Macaca mulatta: one gene and its partner. The protein of the gene in region 2 binds, or shares a complex with, the protein of the main gene of each other region. Links are inferred from orthologs where the notes say so. Each region holds a gene or a part of one and is shown on either strand. Other genes may lie near its edges. The genes, in order: LY96 and TLR4.

Region 1 (3,872 bases), on a different chromosome or scaffold from region 2:
CACAGTGAATCAGAGGTTGTTGTCACCAACACCCTCACAATAGTACCTAGAGGAATCACAATAGTACCTAGAGGAATCAGTGCTTCCCACAGATAATGCATTTTTGGCCTGGTGGGATGGATTCTCTCAGGCCGGGAAGGCAGTCATATGGCAGTGGGGATGGCAGCAAGCAGCATCTTGCTGTAGATGTGTATTCCAGTGGCTTGCCCACAGTCCCTTTGTCAGTGGGGCAGCAGGAAAGGACCACAGGATTTCTCAGAGAGAAAGTAGGAAGATCCTCCTTCATAAAGTCAAATCAAATTAGCCGGGCATGGTGGTGCACACCTGTAATCCCAGCTATTTAGGAGGCTGAGGCGCGACCATTGCTTGAACCCAGGAGGCAGAGGTTGCAGTGAGCTGAGATTGTACCACTGCACTCCAGTCTAGACAGAGTGAGACTGTCTCAAAGAAAAAAAAAATTAGAAAGTCAAATAAAAAGATAAACCAATGGTGATGGTTTCACAGCAATGTGCATATACTTAATACAATTGAGCCAAACACTCAAAAGTGATTAAAATGTGAAATTTTAAGCCAGGTGCAGTGGCTCATATCTGTAATCCCAGGACTTTGGGAGGCCAAGGTGGGAGAATCTCTTGAGCCCAGGAGTTCTAGACCAGCCTGGGCAATATAGCAAGACTCCATCTCTACAAAAAAATTAATGATTAGGCCAGCTGTGGTGGCTCACGTCTGTAATCCCAACACTTTGGGAGGCCGAGGTGGGTGGATCACCTGAGGTCAGGAGTTCGAGGCCAGCCTGGTCAACATGGCAAAACCCTGTCTCTACTAAAAATACAAAAATTATAGGTGGTGGGCACCTATAATCCCAGTTACTCAGGAGGCTGATGCAGGAAAATCGCTTGAACCCGGGAGGCAGTTGTTGCAGTGAGCCAAGATCACGCCATTGCACTCCAGCCTGGGCAACAAGAGTGAAACTCAAAAGAAATAATAATTAATTAATAATTAGCCAAGTTAATTAATTAACCAAGACACGTGGTGGCACATGTCTATAGTCCCAGCTACTAGGAAGGCTGAGCTAGGGGGATGGCCTGAGCCAGGGAGGTGTAGGTTGCAGTTAGTGGAGATCATGCCACTCACTCCAGCCTGCACAACAGAGCAAAACCCTGTCTCAAAAATAAATGATAAAATATTACAAAATGTGAAATGTTTTTAAAAGACAAATTGAGTTATTGTTAAGAAAAGACTAAAAGCTAAATAATAATACAAAATGTTATATCCATAAAGATCATATAAAGAGTGGCATAAGCCAGGTGAGGTGGTTCATGCTTGTAATCCCAGCACTTTGGGAGGCCGGTGGGGGCAGATCACAAGATCAGGAGATTGAGACCATCCTGATCAACATGGTGAAACCCTGTGTCTACTAAAATACAAAAAACAAAAATTAGCCAGGTGTTGTGGCATGCACCTATAGTCCCAGCTACTCAGGAGGCTGAGGCAGGGGAATGATTTGAACTTGGGAGGCAGAGGTTGCAATGAGCCAAAATCATGCCACCGCACTCCAGCCTGGCAACAGAGCAAAACTCCATGCGTTCGCGCACACACACACATGCACACACACACAGAGTGGCGTAATTCGCACATGGTACAAAAGGGCCAAAGGAGGAAAGGGAAGTGGGGGCCAAGTAGAGTAGGAGCCTTGCTGGAAGAGCGGAATGCAAAAGGATCTTGTAGCATGGGGAGATTTTAGAGATACGTTGAGAGGGAATTCAGTGCAACCCACCAGGAGAAGAAGGGCCATGGTGTGTGACTGGCCACATTCCTAAGTCTCCTTCTCACATGTGGCAATTATCCCAATTTCCCGAAAGTCACTTTATATTAGCATTTGGCAGAGCATGTTTCTCAAGAGAGTTAACATACACTCCAGACTAAAAACCAAACAAACAACAAATGAAATTGAAAATGTTGTGGTTAAACAGGTGCCTTTACTGCAGAACTTCTCAGAACTCAAAGTACATCTGTAAATCTCTCCCAGATGATTAGGCCATAGATCCTATTTTCCCAAAAGAATCTCAAAGAACTGGTATTTTGGGAAGCACCACTTTAAACCTTCCGGATAGTGCCAGCGGGTGGAAAAGGGCAGCCAATCCATGGTGAGCCGCACGGTGGAAAGTACCGAACCAAAACAGCTGTCAGGCCTGACACTGTGCCTTCAGACCCGAGGACGCTTGCTAATGAGCAGCTGGGGCAGCGGACAGTGATACAGCCAGTGAATAGCACTAGGGTATGGCTGACTCCAAAAAAAAAAATTAAGAGTATTGTCTTTACGTGACCCTGTGCTAAAAAACTTCACCTCACAACACCCTTATCAAGTAGGCTATAAACTTTTACGTTAGTGCTAAAAAGGCTGGAGTACTTTGCTTAAGGTCACACAGCTAGTGACAGAAACAGGCTTACATCCAGTTAGGGAGATGATTCCAAGAGCCCTCAAAAGTCACAGCTTGGAGCAGAAATCAACTACAGGAAGCAGCTGGGATTGCTCTACCATCTCAAGAAGAAGAACTAGTAAGTGTCAAGGCTGAGGCGAAAGCTCAGAAGCAGACGGTTTTACTGAAACTGGGCAGAACCCGAAACTGGGCTCAGGGTAGAGAAAGATGACACAGGGAACAGAAGCACTTGGAGGTCAAGCACAGCACAGTTTAGAGACTCGCGAGTCTGTGAAGGGTCGAAAAGATTCTCACGGGGTAGCTGCCAGCTATTGCTTTTCCTGCTGGCGGCGTCCGCCACAGCAGCTGGAACACACTGACATTTCCTGTGTTCCAGCCACAACAGTGTAAGGTTCTTGTGAAAACTTACCCTCAAAATAGTTGATGCTACAATTATTTGTTTTGCAGTTTTACTTACCACAGTAGGTGTATGAAATACTTGCATCGGATGAGTTGCAGACCCAATAGTGCTTCTGAGCTTCAGTAAATATGAAAGAAAATAGGGTGGAAAAAAACAGAAATGGTAACATGATTCAATATCTCCAAAACTTTACAAATGCAAAGAGGATCAATAGCTAATCATCAGACTCTTCCTTTTCAGTAAGCAGAAAATATTTAACTTAGTCATCGGTCACATGATTTCTGAGTTCCTATCCAACTGTTTCCTCTTTGTGTGTGTGTGTGTGTGCTTAACATCTGAGCACTTCCTGCAAAGGAAGAGAGAAAAATGATTTAGAATGTACTCTTCAAATACTTACTGTAAATGAGAGTGATCAAAGCCTTAAAAATAAAACAAGACACTTTGGCCAGATGTGGTGGCTCACGCCTGTAATCCCAGCATTTTGGGAGGCCAAAGCAGGTGGATCACTTGAGGTCAGGAGTTCAAGACCAGCCTGGCTGACGTGGTGAAACCCATCTCTACTAAAAATACAAAAATTAGCCAGGTGCGGTTGGCGCACGCCTGTAATCCCAGCTATTCAGAAGGCTAAGGAAGGAGAGTCACTTGAACCTGGGAGGCAGAGGTTGCAGTGAGCCGAGATGGCACCACTGCACTCCAGCCTGGGCAACAAAACTCCATTTCAGAAAAATATTTTAAATGAAAAATAAAATAAAATAAACAAGACGCTTCCCAGTCAACTGTAACAAAACCAGTCCCTAGGTCCCCCTGAAAGTCTCAACAGACAGGAACTCCTTTTCCCTCTGCATTGCTCTTCTCTCCCACAGCTCTGTATACCAGCAGTTCCCAACATTTTTGGCCTCAGGGACCAGTTTCTTGGAAGACAATTTTTCCACGGACTGAGGGGATTGGGAGGGATGGTTTTGGGGTGAAACTGTTCCACCCCAGATCATCAGGCATTAGATTATCATAAGGAGCATGCAACCTAGATCCCT
Region 2 (3,917 bases):
ACTCACAGTCTAGAGTAAGAGTTTAGATGGGAGCAAAGCTAATACTGTCTCAAGGGGCCGTAAAATAGGCTTAGAAAATTTGTCCTGTGGTTCAGAGAAAGCAGAGATCGAGTCCGTATTCAGGAAAGGCTTCCCAGAAAAGGAAGATTTTAAAGTGGGTCTCGGAAGATGAGTAAGGTTTAGATATGTGGAAAGGGGAAGAAAAAACATGTCGTAAGGAGAGGACAACATGAGCATGGAAAGAGTGGAAAACAAACTTAGATTAGCTGGTGAGTGGTAGGAGTGGTGAAACCTAAGTAAGAGGGCAAACCAGATCAGGAGGGCCTCAGACTTTGTCCTGCAGCAATTATTTCAATCATTTATCACATATAAATTTAGTGGCTACTGTGTGCTGACCACTGGAAATATAGTGGTCCTTGCCAATTCCGTTACAAAGGAAGAGAGAGAAAATAAACAAAAAAAAAAAAATATAAAATGTTGTGCTCCGGAAAAAAAAAATAAAGCAATAAAAGGGAATTTGAGGCAAATAAGTGAGGCTGGAGAGCTCTACATGGGGCAATCAAGGAAGACTGCCCTGAGGAGGGGACATGTAAGCAGAAATCTGAATGGAGTGATTAAACCATGAAAATGACCAGGGCTGCACTGACCAATACGGTAGTCACTTGCCATACACAGTTATTAAACACAAGAAACGTGAATAGTCTAAATTGAGATGCATGGTAAATGTAAAATATATACTAAATTCCAGATTTAGTACCAAACAAGGAATGTAAAATATCAGTAATAGGTAAATATATATTAAAATTTTAAACATTATTTTAAATATGCTAAGTTAAATAAAAATATTAAATTCACTTGTTTCTTTTTTTAATGAGGCTACTAAAAACTTTAAAAGTACATATGTGGTTCACATAATATTGCCATTGGATAGCACTGATCTAGCATTCTAGGTAGAAGAAATAGCCAGTGCAAAGGCCTTGTGGTAGAAACCTGTCCTAATGGCAATGGAGAGTTATCAAAAGTTTTTAAGGAGATATTTTGTTAGATCAAAGCTTAAGGAAAAATAATAACAACAAATGCAAATACATAACAAACAAGAACGTGCAGAATGAATTAAAGGAAGAAGACTGGAATCAGGAAAGCAGTCACTGTGTAAGAGTCAACGCCAGGGGAAATGAGGGCCTGCCGTACAGTGGCAAGAAGGGGATGGGCAGGTATGGACAGGCTTCAGGGACTTACAGGAAATCGTACATGGGGAAAAGAAGAAGTCAAGGTTGGCTGTGGTTTTATCTCGCAGTGAGCCTAATTAGAAAATCTATCTCCACTAACCTAACAGCAGAGGGATACAGAGAAGAAGACAAGGAGGAGGACTATGGGCGGGGAATTGAGGGAAGGGATGGCTTTGAGATAATGAATTGGTCTTTGCTAAATATTACTTGATTTTCTCCCCTATCCTCAACTTCAGGACTGCAGCTGGCTTTGCCTCTCTTGAGTTTCTGACCCTGCCTCACTGTAAATCATTTTCTTAGCTGTTCGGCTCTACTATGGGTTTCTAAAGCAACTGTGAAGTCTGTGCAGGGGAAAAACAAAAAAGATCCATCATGAATAAGATTATCAACCAGCTGATTGGTATTTCACCAAGAAACAAACTGTTGCAATAGCTGATATTATACATATTTCCCTCTTGCTTTTTTCTTCTCTCTCTCTCCTTTCCTTTTTCATTCTCTTATTTTTTTCATCCTCTGGACTAAACTATATGACTGCATACAGAAATCTGACACCCACTTAGAAAGTTCTTTCTGTAGAGACACACACACAAAAGCCATCTTCTTCCTGAGATTAACAGGAGCAGGGGGACTGCTTGAAGCTGAGTGTAAAGACCACCGGTGGGAAGAAATGACACTGAAGCAGTCTGTTTATTCTCTGGTGAAGAAGGTATTATAATTCTCTTATAGATGCGAAAGCTAGTCTCAGACAGGTTTGATAATTTTTTCACGCAGCCACAAGGTAGCAGAGCAGGGACCTTACGCAGATCTACGTAACCTAATGCACTCAAAATCTCCAAATGGAACAAACCTGTTAGCACTCAAAATCTCCAAATGGAACAAACCCCCATTGGCTGCCTTTAGTGCCCTTTAACAATGAATTACTTGATCTCTGTGGCTTCTTGAGTCTTTAAGGTAATTTAACTCTTTTTTTGCAAAAATAAACCAGGGCACACAGTGAGAAGCTCTGGGCAGAAGTGAGGGAGAGTTCAGAGGCGCTGACTCCAGCCACATACCTCCACGCAGGGCTCCCAGCTTTCTGGTCTCACGCAGGAGAGGAAGGCCATGGCTGGGATCAGAGTCCCAGCCAGGCGCAAGGCAGACGTCATCCTGGCATCATCCTCACTGCTTCTGTGAGCGACAGTGGCCCTGTGAACGCGTGGCTCGCTCACCGTTTCACCGTTTCACCGGGCAGTTTCTGAGGCACTGGTGTCTTCTCTTCCTCAAGCCGGTGCCCCACAGCAATTGGTACATTCAAAGCAGTTCTGGGCTACAGGGTGAGAGGAAGTGAAAGTTGCAACCTTAGCATTCTGGACTTTTGTTTGTCTAATAGTTATCTCTTTTGTCACAGGAGAGGAAGTTAGAAGGAGAAGAAGAAAACGCCTGCAGACCAGTGGCTAAAGAAACAGCAAGAGGAAGCTAGTTGGCTTTTATCCCAGGAAGTCATCTGACCTCTGTCTGGGCTTGGCGAATTTAGGAAAACCATCAGATGCTGTTAAAATAGCCCTTGCAACTCTCTAGGATGATGGTGATTTTCCAGTTTGTTTCAGCTGTGGAAACACTATTTGTATTAGTTTGCTGGGGCTGCCATAATGAATTACTACAGACTGGGTGGCTTAAACCACAGAGATTTATTTTCTCACAATTCTAGAGGCTTCCAGTCTGAACTCAAGATGTCAGCAACTGTGTCTAAATTCTAATCTCCCCTTCTTATAAGGACACCAGTTATGTTGGATGAGGGCCCACCATAATGACCTCATTCTACCTTACATACCTCTTTCAAGGCTTTCTCTCCATATATGGTCATAATCTGAGGCAGGGGGTTTAGGACCTCAATATATAAGTTTTTGCAAGGATGCAATTTGGTCCACCTCTTCTTGTGAAGAAACTCACATATAAAACTGAAAATAAAGCTCCAGTGAAACACTGAAAAGTACAAGAAGATTGGGAAAAGTCTGGGACTTCAGAATTGAATATACTGAAGTTCAGATCTCAGCTGGGTGACTCATGGCCTCGAGGCATTGGTCAAGTCACGTAAACTACTAAGTTTTACTTTCTTTCTTTTTTTTCCCCCCATTTTCCTTGTTATGGTAAAATCACATAACATAACATGACATGACATAACATAACATAACATAAAATGTATTACCTTGACCATTTGTATGCGTACAATTCTGTGGCATTAATTACGTTCATATTTTTGTACAATCACCACTATTCATTAAGCAATAACTCCCCATTTCTCCTTTCCCTAGCCCCTGGAAACTATGCACTGCTTTTTGTCTCTATAATTTTGACTACTCTAGGTATCTCTTAGAAGTGGAATCATACAGTATGTGTTTTTTTGTAACTGGTTTATTTCACTTTGCATAATGTCTTCAAGGTTCATTTCTGTGTAGTATAGATCAAAGCATCCTTCCTTTTTAAAGCTGAGCAATATTCCATTCTATGTACATACTACATTTTGCTTATCCATTTGTCTGTTCATGGACACTTGCATTGTTGCCACACATTAGCTATTGTGAATAATGCTGCTATGAACATGGTTGTACAAAATATCTCTTAAAGTCCCTGCTTTCAGTTCTTCTGGATATGTACTCAGAAGTTAGATTGCTGGATCATATGGTAAATCTATTTTTAATTGTTTGCACA

The links.
Region 1: the proteins of TLR4 (region 2) and LY96 are in contact, whole or in part, in a crystal structure (PDB 4G8A), measured with the Homo sapiens proteins. The link is inferred for Macaca mulatta from reciprocal best matches to the Homo sapiens genes TLR4 and LY96. Residues at the interface, in NP_612564.1 of Homo sapiens: Gln39, Met41, Glu42, Asp60, Ser62, Phe63, Asp84, Ser86, Arg87, Thr110, Gly111, Val132, Val134, Glu135, Asn156, His159, Ser183, Ser184, Asp209, Leu212, Arg234, Val259, Glu262, Phe263, Arg264, Asn265, Glu266, Arg289, Ala291, Tyr292; in NP_056179.4 of Homo sapiens: Met40, Tyr42, Ile66, Pro67, Arg68, Arg96, Ser98, Asp99, Asp100, Asp101, Tyr102, Ser103, Phe104, Arg106, Leu108, Lys109, Gly110, Glu111, Thr112, Thr115, Thr116, Ile117.

Annotation. Positions count from the first base shown.
Region 1 is NC_133413.1:84,569,261-84,573,132, reverse strand, and holds the start of LY96 (lymphocyte antigen 96 precursor), read right to left. Parts: upstream 3,011-3,872; coding exon 2,899-3,010; intron 1-2,898. UniProt on the Homo sapiens protein: Binds bacterial lipopolysaccharide (LPS). Cooperates with TLR4 in the innate immune response to bacterial lipopolysaccharide (LPS), and with TLR2 in the response to cell wall components from Gram-positive and Gram-negative bacteria.
Region 2 is NC_133420.1:40,573,187-40,577,103, forward strand, and holds the start of TLR4 (toll-like receptor 4 precursor), read right to left. Parts: upstream 2,375-3,917; coding exon 2,282-2,374; intron 1-2,281.